Drosophila melanogaster: one gene and its partners. The protein of the gene in region 2 interacts with the protein of the main gene of each other region in a pairwise test. Each region holds a gene or a part of one and is shown on either strand. Other genes may lie near its edges. The genes, in order: slgA, PVRAP and mTTF.

Region 1 (7,420 bases), on a different chromosome or scaffold from region 2:
TGCCAGCTCCGCCGCTGCGAACGCTAGCTACCCGTCCCAGCAACGCGTCTGCTGGCTTGCTCATACCCAGTGAAGATCAGCCACAGCAGCAGGTGCCGACTTCACTGCAAGTGCAGTGGGCAGAGCGAGGGGAGATGCCGCGTGCTATGCTGCGCCCCAACTACTTTAAACTGGCAGACGAAACGCAGATGGGCGAGCTAAGCTCCCTACTGCAAGTTCAAGTACAAGAAAAGGACTTCGCCCTACAGCAGGTGCTCAGCGAGACCAGCCAGTTTCTATCTGCCCATATGCCAGCTGGCAATACAAATGGGAATGGCAATAAGCGCTCCTTGCAGGACAACAACTCGAGCAACTCCAGCGAGGAGGAGGCGGCCAGTGGTAGCTCGCCAAACAAGAAGGTCAAGTCATCACGCTCCTGCAAGGGCAAGATTTACCAGGAATTGGTCAATTCCGGTCAATTGGCGGCCATAGCTAAGAAGAGCAAAGCTCGCTTGCCGCCGGCAGGTAACATGGGTGGAAACTTTGTGGACATCCCCTTGGATGCGGGACCCAATACACCGCCCGTTTCGCCACCGGAACGTCAGGGTAGCAGTCCGGATTCCATGCAAAAACATATAAGAAGCGTTTCCGAGTCAAGCAGCAGTGGTTTCTTTGATCTCGAGGAGAAAATCAAAGAGCTGCCAGCCCTCAGCTTGGACGCTTACCTGCAGCGCAAACGTAGCACCAAAAAGAAGAAGAAGTTTAGCGGCACCAAGAAACAGAGGAATTCGAACAGCACAAGTGGTGCATCAGCAACTTCGAATGTGGCAGCAGCAGATGCTGCGGCGAAAGGTGCTGTCCCATTATCTAGCGAGCAACACGTGAGGATCAAGCAGCAGCAACTGCAGGCTGTGGGAAGCCAGCGACGAAAGGCGCGCAAGGAAAGTATCACCCGGCGCGATGTTAGTGCCATTGAACAGGAGGTGGCCTCAATTCTGCCCCTGACCATCAATGGCAGCTACTACTTTAACCAGAGCGGTGCTCCCAAGGCGGTGAATGCCCCTGTAACCTCGTCGTCGGCCTCGCCACCGCTCTCTTCGAACTCCTCGTCGTCATCCTCCTCGCTCTCCTCGCAGGCGGCCTTCGACGTGACCTCCTCTACCTCAGATCTACTCATTCTGGCCGAAGTGGCCGCCAACCGCACTGAGCTGACCAAGTCCAACTAGCGCCTGCAACACCAATAACATCAGCAGCACCACTGGCTGTCCAGCATTACCACCAAATAGTTAGCCCAAATCAAAATAGCGAACTGCAAGATTGTCATACTTGGGGAAGACATATTCACATATGTATATCCTGTTGCAATAATTTGAAATTATGTTTAGATATTTAAACTATTCCCTGTTTACCTTATTATATAGTTTTTAGGAAAGCAAAAGAGCATGTCCTTAGCAGTTATTCATATCATCATTCATTACGTCAGAGCTGAGGAATAATACTTTATATTTTATTTACATACATATATAGATAGGTTTTACATGTTTTTCGGGCTATGTTGCACACATATCCAAAATATTCAGTTCATATCCGCACAACTGTGCATTAATATTCAATTGTTTTAACATTGTCGCATCAATCGAAAACCTTAAACTGAATTTGTCGCCCTTATGATAGTCTTGCGGTCAAGTTAAGCACCCATTTTCGATACTTACGATGCTTAAAGCTATTTGCTGGTGGTGCCCAATGGAGATGGAAAAACAGACATTCGTTGATCTACAATTTAGTCAATAATATTATGTAATAACAGAAAATCAAGCCAGCCGAAGAGAATGCGAGAAGAGAGTCGCGGCGATAGCGAATTATGTATTGTTTGTTATGACGGCGGTAGGAGGAGACCCGAGTCAGTTTCACACGCATATATCTATGTATATATTTGGTATTTAAATAACTTGTTCTGTTTTTTTCTTGTTAAGTTTCTCCTTTTTCGGGCCGCGTTCGCTAAGCAGCAAAATCAACAGCAGCGGTCGCTCATTAAATGTTAATTATTATTATTTCTAATATGTAGTCGTAACTTATTGCTATATTTGTCGAAACGCAAACAATTTGCAAACAAAAATATATTCATTTTAAAATGGAAACTTGGAATTTTCATTTTGAAGAGCCAATTTTGCAATATTTATCTATGAAACGCCAGTAAGTAATCAGTATACGGGAACAATTTGGTATCTATGTACGCATACATTGTGTATATTAAAAAATATGGAGTGCATATAGTTCTTGTAGTTTTTTTTTACGTTAACATGATTTCTTTGATGCCATAAATGTTTCTTAACTTTCTTACCTTTTTTCTATAAACAATTTTAAAGTAAAGTAAATTGAGACGTAAAAGGTTTTTTTTTGTTAGTGTCACAAGCCGAATCGCTTTGTTTTTAATTTTAATCAGTTTAAAAGATTTTATACGAAGTAATATGTTTGAAATTTGTAACCGAAAAAATCGCTTAAAACAAACCCAAAGGACATTTTTAGAGATCGCTGGTGTGTAGATTTGTGAGACGGCGATAACTATCGATATTTATATTATATTTATATTGCGAGCTGAAAGTAACAAATAGTTCGGATACTCAATTTTGTAACTAACAATAATTCAAACTTTTCTAAAATCCCTTCTTTCGGCACACAGCAAAAGGAAATATTTGGCTTGGGAGGGTCCGATTAGAAAGATTTAGAAAACTTATATTCATTTGGTGGCCTTATATTTGCGTAAATAGTGCAATTAAAATAAATCTGTTTGATACTTTCTTGAGTCCACGATAAGCGTTCTTTACACAGAGAAACATTTTGAATAATTTTCGTACCTGAAACTAAATTTCAAATTTTGCGAGCGTATATTTCGTATCGATATATTTCTCCAGTGATCTGGGTGTAAAGCAAGCCTGTTTGCGAGGCCAGTGTTGCAAGACGCCGGTTGTCAAGAAAGAGACAGGGAGAGAGATGAATAGAAGGAATGGTTCGTTTTTGTTGGACGCTGGTGTGGGAGTCCATTGATAAGATAAGAGCACCGAAGATTCCCGGCCAACCGCCAGGGGCCTAGATAAGCGTGCCGATTTTTATTGGGTAATAAGAGTTGACAAGATGGCGATTAATTTTCGATCGGGTTTCTTTTTTTCGCTCACGTGCAGCCCAAACAGCTGCTGGGGGTGGCCCATCCCCTTTCTGCCCCTCACCGACTGGTCCAACAATTTCTCTCAAGCTTTTTTGGACGAGCTTTCGCCGTGTTGGCCTTAATTTCGCTTCATGTGTTTCAGTTTATTCGCGAATTCAGACCCTTGCGCGTGCTCACGCTCTCTGTTGCAGCAGCAAAAACCAAAAACCCTCGAAAAGAACAACATTGACTCGAAAAAACCGAAAAATAATTATAATTGTACTTGTACTTGTGTGTCTTTTGTGAGGTGAGCAAATGCGCTGACAGAAACGGGAACTTTTCTACTTTTCTCGCAGGCTGCTGTGAGAAGTTTGTCAAACAAACACGAGTTTTTCCGAAAAACTATATTTGGCAATTCTACAAATTCTACAAAATTGTATTGTTTACCCTTATTATTGTTTTTGGGTCGTTGCTGGTTATGTATCGTAGTTTGTTTTTTTTGAAGTGACAAAACAACCGTTAAAGCAAAATTTATATCGAGCAAATAGAGGAAACCCACAAACCCAAGCGAAATTTTGCAGTGTACATGTGAGTGGCTGCGTTGTATTCGTATCATAAAAGGATCTCTACAAAGCGAGGTAGAGAGCAGTAAGCAGTGTTATATAATAGGTACAATTCGCCGCATAGCAACAAATAAGAAAAATGAAGAAAAAAAAACAAAAAAAAAAAAACCATTCAGATGAATTCGCAATTTAAGTACGGCAGCTCCCTGTTTCCCTTTAACCAAGGCGGCCAGAGCGAGACAGAACTTGATATAGCCCATAATGAAGTGTAATGAAATCTGTGCAATGAAACCCGCCAAGTTTTTTCGATTGATTGCAGCCTCCCGTCTGGCGATTATTTAGCGGGCTGCTAATTAATAAATAAAATGAAAAAGGGAAAAGGGGTTAATGGGTGGAAAACTGAGAACGAAAATTGGGGAGAATCAAGGAGAGCCGCAATTAACACCAATTAGTGTGTGCTTTCGGCGCATTTCAATTAAATCAAAACAAATTCCAAATCAAAATCAAAATCAGAAGCAAACGGGGCTGGCATGCCTGTGACGTCACACAGTCGTAGTTACAATTACGGTACAATCTCGGTTACATTTACAGTTACATAAACGGGAGCGAAGCGGCGAAAAGGATTTTCTCGCCCTCGGGTCCTTCCTCGTTTCGCTTCGTTGAATTTGCCGTCGCTTAACAACTCGCCCCATTTTCACGCGTCTTCGTCGCATTTGGTTTCGTGCTTTTGCGGCGTATACAACGCTCAAAGCGTAATAGAATAAATAATAAGAACGAAGTAAGAAGAAAACCCAAAAGACACATAATAGCGAAAGATAGATTTCTGCCCAGAAATTGACTTTTTTAATTGAACATTTCGAAGGTGTACTTGCGTACGTGTGATTGTGTTGTGCTGTTTTTTTCGGCTTCGCTCTCCCTCGCCGCCTCACGTTTTTCGCATTTGTTGTATAACATTCGGAGCGAGCGAAAGAGGGAGAGCGAAAAGCTCTCCGACAAAATCAGCTGTGATCATTGGCGTTGGCGTGGGGTTTGTGGGGGGGCAAAAAACACAATTAGGCAAAAAGTTGCAATAATAATATGTACACTGATTTTAATATTTTTATAAATTGAATTTTATTATACATTTGTTTATTATTTTTATATTAATTAGATATCATCCAATTACAATTAAATCAATTCTATATGATCTTATTGAAAATCAATGCATATTTTGAAACAGTCGTAATAATTTTGTTATATATGTACCACATTTCCACTTTTTAAAACGTTATTGTAATCGAGTTGAAAACGAGATAACCACCTTTAGTAATCTCTTCGTTACGCCACTGTCTTCCCTCAGATTCGTAGTGATTTGTAGAGATAATAGTGAAATTACCTCTGCTTTCCATTGTTTTCTTTTTGCAGCAACAACCGAGATTGGAGTGCGTTTCAATAACCGTCTCAAAAGCCGAAGAGCAGAAAGCGTAAATAAACCGCAGAATCCCTTGTAATGGCTCTACTCCGTTCGCTGAGCGCCCAACGAACAGCCATCAGTTTGGTCTACGGCCGTAATAGCAGCAAGTCGAGCAATTCCGTGGCCGTCGCCGCCTGCCGGAGTTTCCATCAGCGCGGCAGCGGGAGCACCAGCATCGCCGGAGAAGGAGCAGCATCGGAGTCCACGAGAGGAGTCAATGGAGCGCGCTTCCTGCACAGCGGCGACCGGCCGCTGCAGGCCTCCACTCTGGTCCAACCGGAGGTGGTCTCCAGCGAGACGGTGAAGCGATCGATGAAGCAGGAGTCGTCCCAGGAAAAGAACCCCTCGCCCGCTGGCTCGCCGCAGAGGGATCCCCTGGACGTGAGCTTTAATGATCCGATTGCTGCTTTCAAGAGCAAGACCACTGGAGAGCTAATACGCGCCTATCTCGTCTACATGATATGTTCCAGCGAGAAGCTGGTCGAGCACAACATGACGGTGAGTTAATCGGTGTCCCCCACTCCTCCTCTGCCGAGTCCTGCGACCTTTGACCCTTGAATTGGTCCAATCCATCGACTAGCTGAGATCTCTCTCTCTCTCTCTAGCTCTCTGTTTCTGGTTCTGTTTGCTGAGAAATCTGGGGCTCTGTTAGTACATAACCCCTGCTTAATGCTTTCTTAATATTACAATTAAGTAAGTATCGTTTTAGATAGTGACCGATTTCGAAACCATTTGTTTCAACTCTCGAAGTGTGTGCTGACTCTTCGCCTCTTCTGTCCTCTTCTGCTGCTTTCAACTTATTATAATTCATTCATTTATTTTATAAATACTTCCTTTAAAATGCTTTATTTAAATATATTCATGTACATGGATTCTTGGACACTTGAAGAGTAAACAAAAGTTATGAACAGCTAGGGCTATTGAATTCCATGTATGTATAATGTTAAAGTTGTCTGAAACTGAACGTAGAAGAATATTTAATTTTTTTGTTTGCTTCCTTTTTTCTATTCATGAATTTTTTTGTCTTATTCATGAATTTTTTCGATCCTGCCAAGCTTCCATTCGCTTGATTCCGATTTTCCGGGCAACCGAAGCCCGTGTCAGGTGGCTGGCTGCTTTCCTTCCGATTTTCCGCCCTGCTTCCGCTTTTCAATTCACCCGACCCGCAGCGAGTTTTCGTTTGCTCCCCTCGTGTTGATGAATTCCTGGCTAATTGCTTGTTGCATTTGTTGCCACTTTCTGGCAGGTGCTGCAGTCGCACAGAAGATTGAATGAGTGCCTGATTGACGGCAGGAAAAAGGGAAACTTTGGCATGCAAATTGCCGCTGCGATGGCGACCTTGCCCGGTCCGCTATTTGCTCTTAACTCGTGCGTATTTACTCAGCGAGACGTATGGATTGTGTGAACTGTGTAGGACTGCATAGTATATATAGGTCGTTATATAGTCAGGCCCCCGAATGAGCGCCAATCGGAATCGTTGGAAAACCCCTCGCATTTACCCCATTCTCGCTAGCGTGCTTCTATTTAATAGCGTCGGCGATCGTTTGATTGCTTATCGATTACTCAAAGTGCATGCGTCGCCAAGACTGTTACTTATTTATCATTTTTTCGCCCCGCTCGATGCAATTTGCATATATGGGTGGCTAAATGGACGTCACAGAGAATGTCCGCACAGCTCCCTGGGACCGTAGACATCACATCACATGTGGCATTAGTCAGACATCGACTTTGCCCACATCTCTGCACTAGAAAAAAATTGGTAAGCCATTCCTTTACCAGACTCGGCGCAATCTATTTGAAAACATCGTTTGCACAATCGATTTTGAGCGTTCTAGCATTCAATTAGTTATACTTTTGGTACTAAATATAGTGAGAACATTCTCAAGAACTGTTGCACACAGTTCAATAACACAATTGGGGTCTCATATTCGTTTGAATTTGTATCAGAGTGTACTTATTTTTTCGCCATTTCTATTTACAGTAGCGCGTCGATTGCTTTTGGGGACTGAGGAGCGGTGTGGGTCTCGTGATATGTGAGAATGGGTTGGGTATTGATGGGTAAAAAACATGGTTGAGGATGGGGTACTGTGGCAGGTGCCAGGTGCTAGGTGACCGGGGGTGGTGTTGGCTCTGCTGGGGCAGCTTTTTTTGTTTTTTTTGTTTTTTGGGGCCAGAGCTCAACGGCAAACACCTGTCCTCGGTTTCGAATTGTCTGCCAAAGAAAAGTTAAAAGACTAGCAAAGCAAAACATGCCATACCCAAAAAAAATATAATGCGAAACGA
Region 2 (7,224 bases):
CACCCGCAGTGCGTGTTTGTATTGCTTTTGAATCGAAACTCGATTGCGAAACAAAGGTCGAAATGTGGAGTGGCACTTGAGAGAGGGTTTCTATGCCGTTCTAGTTGCATTCCACGAACCAATAAGTAATAGTTGTGTTTTTTGTTCTTTGGCAACAAAGGAGCTCGAGAGCACCTTGCCATTAGCCAGCCCAGGGTTTCCTTTTCATGTCTGTCTAGAAAGGAGCGCTCTTAGACACTTCGTCTGCTTGGGGAGATCATTATGTATACATATATGTGCACCCTCCATCGATATGGTTACATCATCATGCGGGCAGTTGTCTTTAATTCCCATGTAACAAACAATTAAAAGAAGGCAGGCAGCGCAATATTCGGAAAAAAATTCGCCATGCATTTTCTGGCGGCGTAACGCTTCAGTGGATTAAATTAAATTCCAAGAGGGATTCACCCCAATTCCATGGGAATGAAATCCACACATACAACTCAATTAAGCTCGCTGGCAAGGGAAAAACTTAATTTTATACTTAATTGCAGCATAAACGGGGCGTGGGTGCGCGGGGTCATCGGAAAATGGTGGCGGCTAGGGAAATCAATTTTAGCCTCCGTTTGATCCTTGAAGCATATGCCCCCCGTCAATTGATAAGCAATTTTCCAATTCGCCTACAATTTCCATTTTAATAGAAAAATCCCACGCAACACGATGAACAAAAATTTCGCACTGCCAAACTGCCAAATATGATGAAAGGCCGGGTGGTGGGCGTTAAATGAAAAATGGGCGTGTTCAGCTATGTATAAAGCCAAATTCAATATACAAATTCAAATCATTCAATTATCTGCGGCTCAACGCGAAGCTCCATGGCTTTTTGCAGCGAGGGGAAAAAGTTGAATCAATTTGGCAATTGAATTTCATGGAAAGTTAGGGGCAAGCGAGTGGGAGGACTTAAACAAGTAAAATAAATGGCATTTATCAGAAACAAATCAAATTTCCGCTCGTAATGTAAGCAAAACGAGGAAAAGATACAAGAAAGATAAACAGAAATTGGCAACCAGAAGTTGGGTTTCCTTTAAATGGTTAGGCAAAGGATAAAAGCCGATAGATAAATTTGGAACTTTTCTTAACCACCTGTTTTCCCTTTTTCTTCGTGAAATATGCAAGAAAAAAAGCCTTTTTAGGCTTTTAAAATACATAATAAAATCCATAAAGGATAGAAAATGTTTGACGTAAGCCGGCGTACAACTGTGAAATGCAAATTTCAATCCGCAAAGTTTTATTCTTTTAAATTCTTTTCTGACAACTTTTTCAATAAATATATTTCTGCCAAATCAACTCAGCTCACCTGTCCCAACATTTTTCTCCATTTTTCGCGTATTCCATTTCAATTTACAGCCATTAAATCAACGCTGACTGGGGAATATACTAGTATCTATGTATATATACACGCGGATATATGCTACTAAACAATGCTGTAAATAAACAATAAAATGGATGGCATATAAAAAGAAGATTGCACGCCGGCGCTTACAGACGGAAAATCACGAAATATCCACGCGAGTTTCCATTTTTCTTAGTTGATTTTTCCTCCTTTTATTAGTCCTTTTTATACGTGTGCACGTATCGCCGTGTATCTATGAGAAATACGAGATTCCAATTTGGTACACGGCATTGGATTACATGACAACGACTTTCCACTCACTGCCGTTAATGAGTTCAACTTCGCATCGCTGACTTTTCGATTTATCCATAGGTTCTTCATTTGTGAGTTTTGAGTGTTCAGTTTCAAATTTTGCAGCTGGATTCGGACTGCTTTAAGATGCCGCCACGCCCTGCAACATGCGGTTTTGTTTGGGCTTCTTGGCCAGGTCAATCTACTGCTCGCAAAACCGCAACATGTCGCTGCTGCTTGTGGGTGTGAGCTGGGCTACTGTATCTAAATCCGTATCTGTATCTCTGTTTCTCAGTATCTCAGTATCCGCATCTGCCCATCTGCATCTCCATGCCGAGTAGTCAGTGTATCCTTAGCTAAGCCTCAGCTTAATGCGCTTGCATAAACAATGGACGACCCTCCGTATCTTCATCTCATCTCCGCATCTGTAAGCGGATTTGCCCTAATGTCATTCGACAGTCCTTTCTCCTTTTCAGATGTTTACCGGCCCTCTTTTAAGTCTCTGAAAAGTATGCACTGCTAAACGGTCGCATAATTAGATCAGCTTCGGATTTCAAACTAGTGGATGTTTGGGCGCATCAAAGGTTGCCACCGGCAAAAATCGTAATAAAATCTTATCAAATTCATGGCAGTAGGAAATGAGAAACCGTTAGCTTATGAGAAAATCAAGTTGTCACGACAACCATGCACATATGGCAGTTCTTTGAGGATTCGATTGGCAAGCCAACCACCAGTTGAATGCAGACTGGAAAGGTCCTGTCCCACTCCAGACATCCACATTCCGAGGAAATCCAGCGCATGCGCTGTTGTGGATGCCAAGTTTCGTGGCAGGATACCAAGTTTCGGGCTTAGCACAAAAATGCCAGCACATGGGGCCAGGATAAACAGTTCCTTGCGCGCTTTCAACTGCAAAGGTTGCCCCAAAAAGGCACCTAACCGTATACAACTGGCAGATGCCCAAAACTTCAACATTGTCCGAAATTCGTCGAAAGTCATAAAAACTTAACAAATCCCCCAGTTTAGCACAAAGGGTCGTTTAACTTTTAACGACGCGACGGGGTAATTTTATTGCCAGAGTCGTGGCCCGATAACAGTGATAACAAAGTAGCCGCGTTAACCAAAAAAGTTTCACACTTTCCGTGCTCGAAATCAAAAGACGTAATCGTAAAACGCGGCCAAGTGTTGCGATTTATGAGTTCACAATCGTAATTGAATTTTATGCGAAAACTTTGGCCAGTTTTCCTTTGGATTATTGTGGCAATAAGACGAAAACGCAAATAAAGGTCGTGAACATAACGAAAATTGCCGCCAAAAATTGATACTAAGGTGAGTGGGACACACGACAAATTTCATTATTGGCTCCACATCCTAAATATCCTTTGGATATACAAGTCTTGTTTGTTGGTCAATTTGGGTTTATTTTATCCCTTTGTTGGGATCAAAGTCGGCCCTTTGCATCCTTGACAAACAGTGTTAAAAAGGTCAGTAGCCTTGACTTGAAAGAATTGCATAGGCTCTTGTTTCGCTTCGCTGCCTCCGGTCCTTTCATCTTCTCTATATAATTATTCGCAGAGAGTTTTCCCCCCTCTGCATTTTGCCACCTTTTGGCACTTTGGCTGCACATCAAAATGCATTGCAAACTTTTGCCACGAAAGCTGCTACACTTTCTGGCCTCGTTCGGCTTAAAGTTATCAGCGGCAAATGGGGGTGCAACGGGCTCCAAGGATAGGAATCAACTTTTTTCGGGGTGTCGCCGTACTTCTTGGGGCAGACTTCCTGTTAAGCTGTCAACATGTTTGGAGTGAAGTGTATCAGCTTTTCCGAAAAACTTTAAATTCCTCGGGGCGTTGAAATGCACGCGAGCATGCCCGAGAAAAACGTTTCGGTGTGAATAAAGTAATATAAAACTATGCCAATTCAATGGAATGTACTGCTCTTGAAAGACTGCTTTTAAAGACCTTTTTTTATTAAAGAAACCTTTTGGTTTTCTCTGAATTCAGCAATGAGATTTCGTTGATAAGAATATGATCTTTACTTTTATAAATACTGATTTTTTAGGATATGGTAAAACTTAAAGCAATGCTAGCAGTTTAAAAGAAGGAATCCAATCAGAACGCGTCCGTTAAAAACTGTTGTCGATTTTATGGCACGATTATAAAGAAGCGCCCAAGTCGAATTACTTGCCACAGCACACTTTTGGGGTTAATATGAAGTTCTGCTGCATTAAAAAGCACTGCGGAAATTAATGAAGATAAACCCCTGGACAAACTTTGGCAATCCACTGGCTTACACTTAAATCTGTGGCATAAAAATGCACTTAAATGCAGTCACAAAATAAGATACACAAGGCCACCGCAGCGTCCTTCCACCGCCCCACGCCCACCACGTTTTCCGAACCCCTCGCCAAGCCAGCAACATTTTCCTTGAAAAGCGTCGCCAAGGAAATGTCAAGCGGCGGTTTGTTGGCCGCAGTCGCATTCGTATTCGCAGTCGACACTTCCGCAGCGGCGACAGGTGCTGCCTGTCAGCTGCATACGAACCGCGAATTTTTCACCTCACCACCCACCGCTTTTCCGCGACACTTTTCCCTCGCCGCTCTTGGCCGTGTCAAGTTAATCAGCAAGCCATGGTTTCTGCTCTCCTTTTTTTCGGTGGCTTTTCAGCATTCCATCTTTGTTTTTTTCGGTTGTGGGAAAAAAAAAATTTCACGCCCGCAACGAAAACTTTTCATTTTCAACAAGCGAGTGAGCGAGCGTTAATAAGGTATAAAAAAAGTTAGGGGAAAAAAGGCGGAATAGCAGCCTCAGACAAAAGAGCCTCATAAAAATGGAGCTTGTTTGTTTGAGCTAGAAGCGACTGCTGCTCCTACTTCTATTTTTCCCCATTTTTCTCCCTTTTTCCTGAAAACCCGTTTATTTGTTAAAGTTTGCTGGTGTTGCTCTTGGCAGTGACTTTGGCTTCTGGCTCTTGTCAAGTAGCTAAAGACAACAAAACAGAGTCTAAATGAAAATCTGCTTTTATTCCACTCACTGGCACATACGTACACGAATGAAAAAGAGTTGTCATATACAGATTTGATAAACTATAAAAAAGGGATTTAATTTTTTTATTCAGGAAATGTATGAATTTAAGTTTTGCACTTCATTTAATAAATTTCGTTATTAAGTCAACCTGTGGCTTCTTATTCAAAACGTATTTGTTGGCCTAAAGTGTACTGTAAAATAGTATTTTGTAGTAGCTTAAATCACTGTTGAAACTTATTAAAGGATCCTCGTTTTTTTCGGTGCATAAGCGCCTTGTACATGTGCCATAATTCACACTGCTGCTCAGCAAGCGGTACAACGAAAGGCTTTTAGGAGTTGTCTCATTTTTCCGCACTCTTTCACTCCTTGAACGCCTACGCCACGCCCACCTGCTGTCGCCCGGCATCGTTGACATTTTCATTCATCGTCTTGGCAACCGTAATTAAAATCGTTTTAATTTACTTTTGCCTCACACACACACACCCGCACACACTCGCACACAAATACAAGCAAACACATGCAAGCCCACGCCTTCCGTTTCCTGTGGAAAGTGTAGCACACTTATCAGCGCTTGTCTGCGTTGCCTGGTTTATGTTTATCGACTTTTGTTTAGCGGCTGATGCTGTTGCTTTTCTGCTGCTGTTATTATTTCAGTCTCTGCCCGCCGGCGGTATCCTTACCGCTTCCCCCCTCCATGCCTCTCTCCGCCACCATCGCCCTACTCATTATGTGGGCGTGCAAATTGCTGCATATTCATTTACCGTTATCTCTTTCTTGTCAAGTAAAACACACATTTTACTACAACAACAGCTGCTGCTCCGGCTGCCTCCTTCACAGCCTAGCCACGCCCCCATCCGCCACGGATAGTAACCATTGCCATCATTCTCCGCCCACTCCTCCATGTTCTTAATAACATAAACTTCTTTTCTCTCAGCGCCCGAGTTGAGTTAATGAAGAATTTCCATGACGATGTCGTTGCCCGTGAGCCCGTTATTTCACTGCGAAAATATTTACAGAAATTCATAACTTCATGTATTATATGGATTTTAAAGAAAAATGATTTCCTAAATAAACATTCAAGAATTGAAAGAAAAACATCAATGCTAAGGTTCCAATTAAGTAGTTATAAAATATTTATATTATCTTAAAAGTACTTATTTTTTCGAGTGCCAAAGCATATCTTTTTGTATCAATCTTTTGATACCACTCCTGCCACCTGCTCTGGCTCATTATATTGTTGCCTTTCGTCGAGGATGGGGATGTTCAAGTTGCCTGGGCAACAACAAAACGTCTACAAATTTGCCAGTCGCTCAGCCGCTTCAGTTGGCTTGAAGCGTATTAATTTTGCTCATAAAATGATTCCCGATAAGATTTGATCTGTGTTTGCCTTGAGACTCCTTCGCTAACCCATAGAATTTGCCAGCCTTTTGAAGTTGACTGCGCACTTGAGGAGAATGGCGAACGTTCTGTGCGGATGATTCGGAGTATGAGGTATTCACCTTTGGCTTAGTAATGAAAATTCTGCGACGGCATCATCGTCGTCGTAAGCCGCTTAAAATTGCCGAGATGATGTGTGCATATGAGTAAAATCTCTGGGGCTTAGTTGGCCCGCTATCAAAACACTCGGCAGCACTTCAAGCGGCTCGGCAACATTTCGGCACCAAAATTGCCATTTCAATGTTGCCAGCAACATGGCGCTCACACATACACATGCATATTCACGGCACATCGCTTCTGTGGGCTTGTGTCTGTGTGCGATACACCCACACACGGAGAATATTTCGGAACAGGCGCTCAGCCACGAGTGTTGGCGAACACGCACTTCGCAGAGATATTCACCCACACACGAGCACAGAATGCAGACTCACTCACTCACAGACACACTCACAACTACGTACACGTACGCACTAAGCAGGCAAACAAAATCGTCCTGGAAGTTGCCAAAGCAACGAAAAAAGCGAGAAAGCCGAGCAAAGTAAGACACTCTTTTTCGAGGACGGTGGTGGGAAGGGAGGGCAGCGGCTGGTTGAACGGGGCCAAACAAAAGCGAGATAAATAAGGAGCACACCGTACACCAACACACACACTCACACACATAGCAAGAGAAGCATCAGACATTGAAACTGTTTTCAGGAGTGTTTGTGTGTGTGAGTCGTAAAACGGTCGCGGCCTGCAGTTGAGTCCTGTCTTAAGGGCCAAAAGAGAGGCTGCTTTATGGTCATTCCCCCATCGTTTCAACCACGCTGTTGTTGTTAATTTTGACGCTGGCATAATAAAGTTGATAAAGCAGCCGCAATGCTGCCTTTGAAGATTTCGTATTTCGCCAGCACCGAAAAGTAGGCAATTATAATTTGCATACAAATGCACGCAGGAATAAGTCGTATTTCCTTTTTTTTTTTTTTTTTTTTTTTTATAGCCCACGCTGGGGATATTTATGATGTTTTTATTATTTGATCAACGCACTGTTACCCATGCGGCAACTTAATTTGATCTGCTTAAATTATTTTATTTTACAATGTGTCTTGGTTACTTAAGACT
Region 3 (6,708 bases), on a different chromosome or scaffold from region 2:
GCTAAGAGAAATATTTAAATCAATTATAAATGTTTTAATTAATTATTAATGTCATAAGCATATATGTATTTCAATGTGTAAGCAGTTGCTGTCTGCAATAAATGTGACCGAGTTGTCAGAAATAATTTATTTAGAGTTGAGTTATTCGACTATCAGATACTCATTACTCAGCTAGTGGGGGTGTCAAAACGTTGGAAATTGGGATGTTGCCAAAATAGTGGAAATAGTCAAGTCAAATGATAAAATTAGTTGTGCAATTGTAAATATTTATTTGTTTCGATTCGCTGACATTATTTCATCGATAGCATTTAAGATCCATTCACGGAAATATGGGACACTAGTGTAGATTGAACTATACGTGCAATCCTTTGTACCCCCGGATACAACACCCACAAGTTGTTGGTCAAACACCAACGGTCCACCAGAGTCTCCTTTACAAGCCGCCCTTCCAAAAGATCCGGCGCATATTCTTGACGGTTCAGTTAATCCACAATAGTACGGCCATTGAATGTAAAGGTTTACTCCTTGAAGATCGATGGGATGTGAGTAATAAGAAGAACTTCCCCAGCCAGAGACGAAGGCAATCGATCCAGGCGGGGGATTTGTCTTGGCCAATGGAATGGGCTGAACTTGGTTTGTGAACTCAAGTGGCTTACTTAGCCGCACGATGGCGATGTCGTTTCCTAATCCCTCATGCGTCCTTATAGCGGCCACATCGACAACACTTCCATTGGAGTTCTTCAAGGCGGATCCTGCCCGAACTTGATATCCCTGGCCCTGGACGCAATGGGCCGCAGTAATGATGATATCTGCGCTGTAAATGGAGCCACCGCATAAATGTTTGCCATCACGTTGTATGGACACCTGCCATGGTGCCTCCTCGATTCCAATGGGTTGTCCACCGATAATGCGTTCTTCCGGCCGGATTACTGGTCCTGCGGACAGGGAATTGAGCGCCAATAGCAACAGGAAGCTTTGGATGAACATCTTGACCAGTTTGTATGATACTTTGAATTGCAGTGGCTTCACGTCCAAAGTAACCAGTCTTTTATACACAACTCAGTTAGCAATATTCTATTTGAACCTCAGTAATAGTTTATGTATCTAGATATAGAATATTCTCTATTCTTGTAAAGCAATCAAAATATTGAAAAATACTTCATTCGCTAAATATAAACATCATAAATAATTTAGCTGCCTTTTGCTTTCAAGAAATTTTTATCGCTAACGGTGAAAATGTGGAGGGGCAATAACATTTCTGGAATTTTCTAATTAACTAAGTTTGCAATTTGGTTTGTTCTGCGTTTATAAATGTTGAAAGAAAATTTCCAACTGATTAAGCCATCCGAAGTGGTAGAATGACTGCAGAGAGTCGTCCAAACTAAACAAACTAAACTTTCTGTCCGCAGGACGAGTAATCCGACTGGTGGTTAAAAAACCTATTGAAATCGAAAAGGTTCCCTGATTGGTTTCCTTACAATATTATGGAAACCTTACTTGTTAAGGGTCCTTTAAAAATGAAGATACCATCATAACAGCGGTCCCCTGGTCGTAATTAATAACGTTTTTTGAATATTGGCTTTTAATCGTGTTCAATTTCGTGGCAAAACTTTTGAAAAAAGTATCTTAACTTTACAACAACTTTTTAAGCTTTCACGGTGATGGCATCAGGTCATTCGTCAGTTCATCATCCTTCTGATACACTTTGCGGATTTCTTTCATGGCTTATCCAGTTCTGCAAAAACTTATCGTACTCCCTCCGGCTGCGGCAAAGAATTACAAGAGAGGAGGGTCGACAACCGTGCGATTTCAGTTCTTCCATGCGCTCCTTTGTGGTTTTCAGGCTGTGGCATAGAATTCGAGGATTTTGAGCGACCTCAAATCTGGTAAACTGGGCCTCATCGAGTAGGTAGTCTAGCACCTCTTTGATCTGAAGGCAAAATTGTATAGCTTATGATTGTTTGAGTTAACCCATTGTGACTTACCTTGGTAACTCGCACGGTGTGCACCTGCGGATGTTTGTCCATGATTGCCTTGGCTTCACTGGTGCTGAAACCAAGACGATGCGCTAAGTATTCCACCACGGAGGAGAACTCTCCCAAAACCTTCAGTTCGTCGAGAGAAAGCTTCAGGGAGCGCTGCAGTATTGGCTCCGGGCAGCGCACCATCCACGGCATGATCTTGTCCTTTTTCGCCCGCTTGGCGCGCTCCAAACGCAACTGAACAGACTTTGGAGTATAGCGAAAGGCCCATAGATCCTTGAGTACGTTTATTGGCGACACATTGTAGTCGATCATGTGCTGCAGGTTCTTTTCGAACATCTCGAACGGCATTTCCAGGATAAACAGCCTCTTCGATAGATATTTGCTCACAATATCGGGGCTGACATCCAGCTTTTCGCTGATATAGTAGACACGATTTCGCTGTGGCATTGCATCCCTCTCAGAGTTCAGAGCACCCACCAGTTTTCGAAGACGTGGAACAGTGAGGCGCAGGAAAGGCACAAAATGATTGATGTCCTTAAAGTCCATTGACTTGAGTAGCTGCATCTTTAGCTCCAAGCGTTCTGAATAGATAAACAAATAACCGATGATTTAATCACATAAAGGATATAAAGCAAATGAGCTTACTATTGTCCAGCGACAGTAGCCAAGGATACTCCACGAAGCTGCGCCTGCTAACGCCCTCTAGCTGCAGTGTGTCCATGACCAGAGTCAGTGATCTACCGCGGTAGCAGCGGTGCACCAGCTCGTCGCTGATTATCTTTTGGAGCTCAGCGTCCGTGAAGCGAAAACGTTCCCGCAGAGCTTCGAGGAGCACCCGCGTCTTGGTTCCAGTCTCCCGATCCTGGCGATAAGGCACATAATCGTTTTCCGCCTCGTTGCTACCTAAAGTGCCACTGGAGGTCAGTCTGCTCGGACTGGCGCGGTTTTCGTACTGCGAGAAGAGTAGGCGCCTGCTGCAGTGCATTGGGTGCATATTTAAGCCGGCATGCAGCTTGAGTGCCGTCTCAAAGCTGCGCAGAAGGCTTCTAATCATCCCGAATTTGCTTAATTTACAGAATCAAGACAGAAAATAAAGTTCTTCAACTTATAAAACAAGCGGAAAACAGCTGATATGTTGCGGCGATAAACAGCTGACCAAGTGGGCCAACTGAAAGCTGGAGTATACGACACTCAAACAATTATCGTTATCGGTTTTGAAAATAATGACCGTTATTCGGAACAGCAATTTAATAAATTTAGCATTTGTTTTCTAGGAAAATATAATAACTTTTCTAGGTGCAATTGATTTCATAATATGTTTAGGAAGTGTGCTGGTTCATACACAATAACATACACATACACTTTTTAAATATAAGTGTGAAACACTTCCAATATTTATTTTCAAATCTACTAAGCATTCTTAGACAGAGAGTCCCACAATTGAAATCACTCCCATTTTATCAACGAACTTTTTGATTTTATTTTCAAAAATACTACGCTCCAAAGCTAATCGGAACATTAACGCTAAACAAAGACTTGTAGGATTTTGAACAAATCATGAAAACATCTATCACAAGCACTACTCCACATCGATGTCTTTTGTGACGCGACCCACCCAGTAAACGAATCCGGTCTGCACCACGGTGGCCATGAACTTGACGTTGCCCTTGTAGCCTGCTGGCGGAATCCAGTCGAAGGTGATGCCGGTCAGCGGCTTGCCCTTTTGCGCACTCAGATGGGTGATGGTGTCGTCCTTGCCGGAGCAGTCCAAGGTCTGCGAGTGCACGGAGTCCACCACCTGGAACTGGCCGACGACGCGGTTCTGGCCATCGCGTGCCTGGATCATGAAGCCAAGGAACTCATCGCCGCCCAGCGTCAGGGTCAGCTTTTGATCCGAGCGCACATGGGAGGGTCCGGAGATGCTGTACGGCGGCTTGGTCACCTGCAGCTTGGCTCCGTGCTGGGGCGTCAGGTCACGACAGGCGGCCTTTGGGATAATGAAGATGGGAATATAAGGAATCTATCCGTCATGTATTTCGATGGGGCAGGTTCATACCTTTGGAGCACCATCGGAGTAGGCGTGGACACTGATGGCCAGGCAGGCCGCAAGAACCAACAAACGGAACATATCTGTTTAAGGGAAAATTAAAAATAATATCACATGAGTTGGAAACATCGCTTTAGTAACGATTAAAATCCAGTTGGTTGGCTTAATTATGCTACATCACTGTGAAGAACAGTCCACGTAGTGACGAAGCGCACCAAGTGAGTGTGCGAAATCCTTCCATTTTCCATAACCGAATATGCTTAAGCAGAACAAGTTTTAATGACACAAGTACTTGTCAATGTTTCTACTTTCAACTTCTAGTGCTTTCAAGTTGAATCCAATTACATATTAAAATATATTTACTGCCGGTCATTGTTTAACATTTTTAGATTCGTGCATGCTGCTTAATTGCGTTAACTAGTTTTTCATAAATTAATTAATTAACATTTCCACTCAAGTGAGACTTTTTTCACTGGCCTTGGCCAGTTTGACTTTGCTTAAGTTTTTTATTTATTTAGTTTTTTTTTTTTCCTTTTCAAAGTTTACACTTGTATACGTGGGCAGGCGCAAATATATTGAAAACTAGCTCCAATTATGCAGTTTGTCAACGCCAACGTTTATTATGCAGTTTGTTCGGTCCCAGTTGTCGCCATAATGGGTATATTTCTCTGCAGCCTTGACTGTTGACAGTCTGTGATTCTACAAGATTTGTGGATTAGGCTGCAGTGTTACTGTCTGATTTGTAATAACCAGTATTAGTGCCGAAAAAAAATGTCAATCAAAACATTTTAATTATTTACGGGAAACCACTCGAAGTGAACTTAACATTTCAATCACGATCGGCTCGTAAATCTTCAGATTCGCAGAATTAAGAAGGCGCAGACAAAAGCTTTGTTCAATATTGAAATTGGCCAAGATGCATGTTGATTAAACCAATTTTTAAAAAATCATCAAACTGGTTTTTCGGACGTAAACGAAAACTGTTTAAAGCCAAACCAGTTTGCAGTACATTTCCATAGAAGAGTAACTCTTTTTTTTACCGTGCGATAAAAATCGCCTAGAAATGACAAGTGACAATTGAAGACAACAGCCTAAGTACTTCCTCAAATCGAATTCTCAGGTTCAAGGTGGATTGGAGGCTTGTGGAGTTCGAAGTACCGATCTGATTGATCGTCGGCCTCCTCCACTTGGGTCGCCATGGATTCGAAAAGACCTTGTCAAGACCGGCCCGTAAGCCAAGTTTCCATTTGTCTTGCAATATGCTAAAGTTCAATATTGGACATGTTAGTGTCGGAGCCAAGTTTTGCTTCTTTATTTCTTTCCCTCTGCGACTTTTAGCCGTATATTTATGTATTTATGGGCCTTTGTCCAACCGGTTGGGCGATTTGTTTAGATAAAATCTCAATACATGGTTGTTTAATGTCATTACGCTGAGCTATGGCCATAGGCCTCAATTAGCCAACATTTATAATGGCTTGGAAAATATTATTATTATCAAGTTGGTGGGACAGAACTGCTGAAGCTTGAAATTCGCATTCATACCGAAACTATCTATGTCATTTCCGAAAAGGTTTTTTTTTTAATGATCATATTAGAATATGTATTCTAAATTAAGCTTAGTCACTTTAAAACCCGAAAAAAAGGAAGAGTACAAATCCTTTAAGTTTTTAAACCTTTACAACTGTTTCACAAAAAATCAACTGAACTTTGAAAATCGTTTAGGCCAAGTAAACTAATTGCTTAATCATTTAAACCTACCGATCAGAAATACACACACACAAGCGGCAGAAAAGAAAAACTTGAAATGAGCTGAAAATTCTAAAACAACTTCCTATTTATACCAAAAAACTGATCAAAAGTAGTGAAGTAGCTTTTGCAAAGACAACTTTGTAAGCCGAGCTTATACTGCCATACCAGCAAGTTGGCCAAATTCGAAAGCTCCGAAAGCTGAGCTTGCAAATTGAATTTTTAACGCTTCATTTGTGAAGCGACATAAACAGTGACTAAGTGTTTACTTAGATCCACAAATCAAATGGCACGCCAATTAGCAATGCGTATTGATTAGAAGGAGAAACTTGCAAATCAGAATTCGCTGTTGAATGGAAAGCATTTGGCTTATAGGTCAACTATCTGAATTGGTTTAAAATCGTTTCCGGTCGTTTAGTCAATTAAATATAGTTCAGGTTCAATATTCTTTTTGGGTTTCTTCTTTAGATTTCAAAAACTATCCTAAATTTAAATTGTTTTCATATTTGCTGACTGCACTTTGAAATGCTCTTTACTTTTAATATTATAAAGCTACTACTTTTAAGTATCCCCTATAACATAACATACAACCACATCAAGTGTCGTTACACTTTTTTCCAAATGGGAACACTTTTAAAATTCACCAATCTGTGGTTGTCAAATCCAAATGTCATTGTAATTCGGGACACTTCAGTATTTGAGTCAAAAATATGGGAGCAGAGCAATCGGCATTGTTGGCCTGCACTCAGACGGGCATCCATGAGGATCGCCTGGAAATGGATAACTCAAAGTTGTTCTTTCAATTGTACTTTGATAGGATGCCCCAGCCTGTGACGGGTCCCGTGACAGAAGCGCTGCTCCACTTGGTGGATAAAGTGAATGTGGCTGGGGCTAATAATGGTAATATCCGATACCTTTATACCAATTGTC

What was found.
Region 1: the proteins of PVRAP (region 2) and slgA interact in a two-hybrid assay, tested with the Drosophila melanogaster proteins (one large-scale study listed by BioGRID).
Region 3: the proteins of PVRAP (region 2) and mTTF interact in a two-hybrid assay, tested with the Drosophila melanogaster proteins (one large-scale study listed by BioGRID).

The regions. Positions count from the first base shown.
Region 1 is NC_004354.4:21,371,032-21,378,451, forward strand, and holds the start of slgA (sluggish A), read left to right. Parts: upstream 1-3,280; 5' UTR 3,281-3,709; exon of another isoform or gene 3,710-3,790; intron 3,791-4,390; exon of another isoform or gene 4,391-4,462; intron 4,463-5,078; exon of another isoform or gene 5,079-5,088; 5' UTR 5,089-5,173; coding exon 5,174-5,635; intron 5,636-7,420. Other genes in the region: bbx (bobby sox), read left to right, coding at 1-1,205. UniProt on the Drosophila melanogaster protein: Converts proline to delta-1-pyrroline-5-carboxylate. Involved in the conversion of proline to glutamate, which functions as a transmitter at neuromuscular junctions. Glutamate deficiency could possibly account for reduced motor activity.
Region 2 is NT_037436.4:5,994,665-6,001,888, forward strand, and holds the start of PVRAP (PVR adaptor protein), read left to right. Parts: upstream 1-2,543; 5' UTR 2,544-2,989; intron 2,990-7,224.
Region 3 is NT_033779.5:14,345,668-14,352,375, forward strand, and holds mTTF (mitochondrial transcription termination factor), read right to left. Parts: upstream 3,124-6,708; 5' UTR 3,040-3,123; coding exon 2,631-3,039; intron 2,567-2,630; coding exon 1,986-2,566; intron 1,931-1,985; coding exon 1,688-1,930; 3' UTR 1,572-1,687; downstream 1-1,571. Other genes in the region: Send2 (spermathecal endopeptidase 2), read right to left, coding at 268-987; l(2)34Fc (lethal (2) 34Fc), read right to left, coding at 3,565-3,972, 4,042-4,113; CG43052 (uncharacterized protein), read left to right, coding at 6,489-6,678. UniProt on the Drosophila melanogaster protein: Transcription termination factor. Binds promoter DNA and regulates mitochondrial replication and transcription.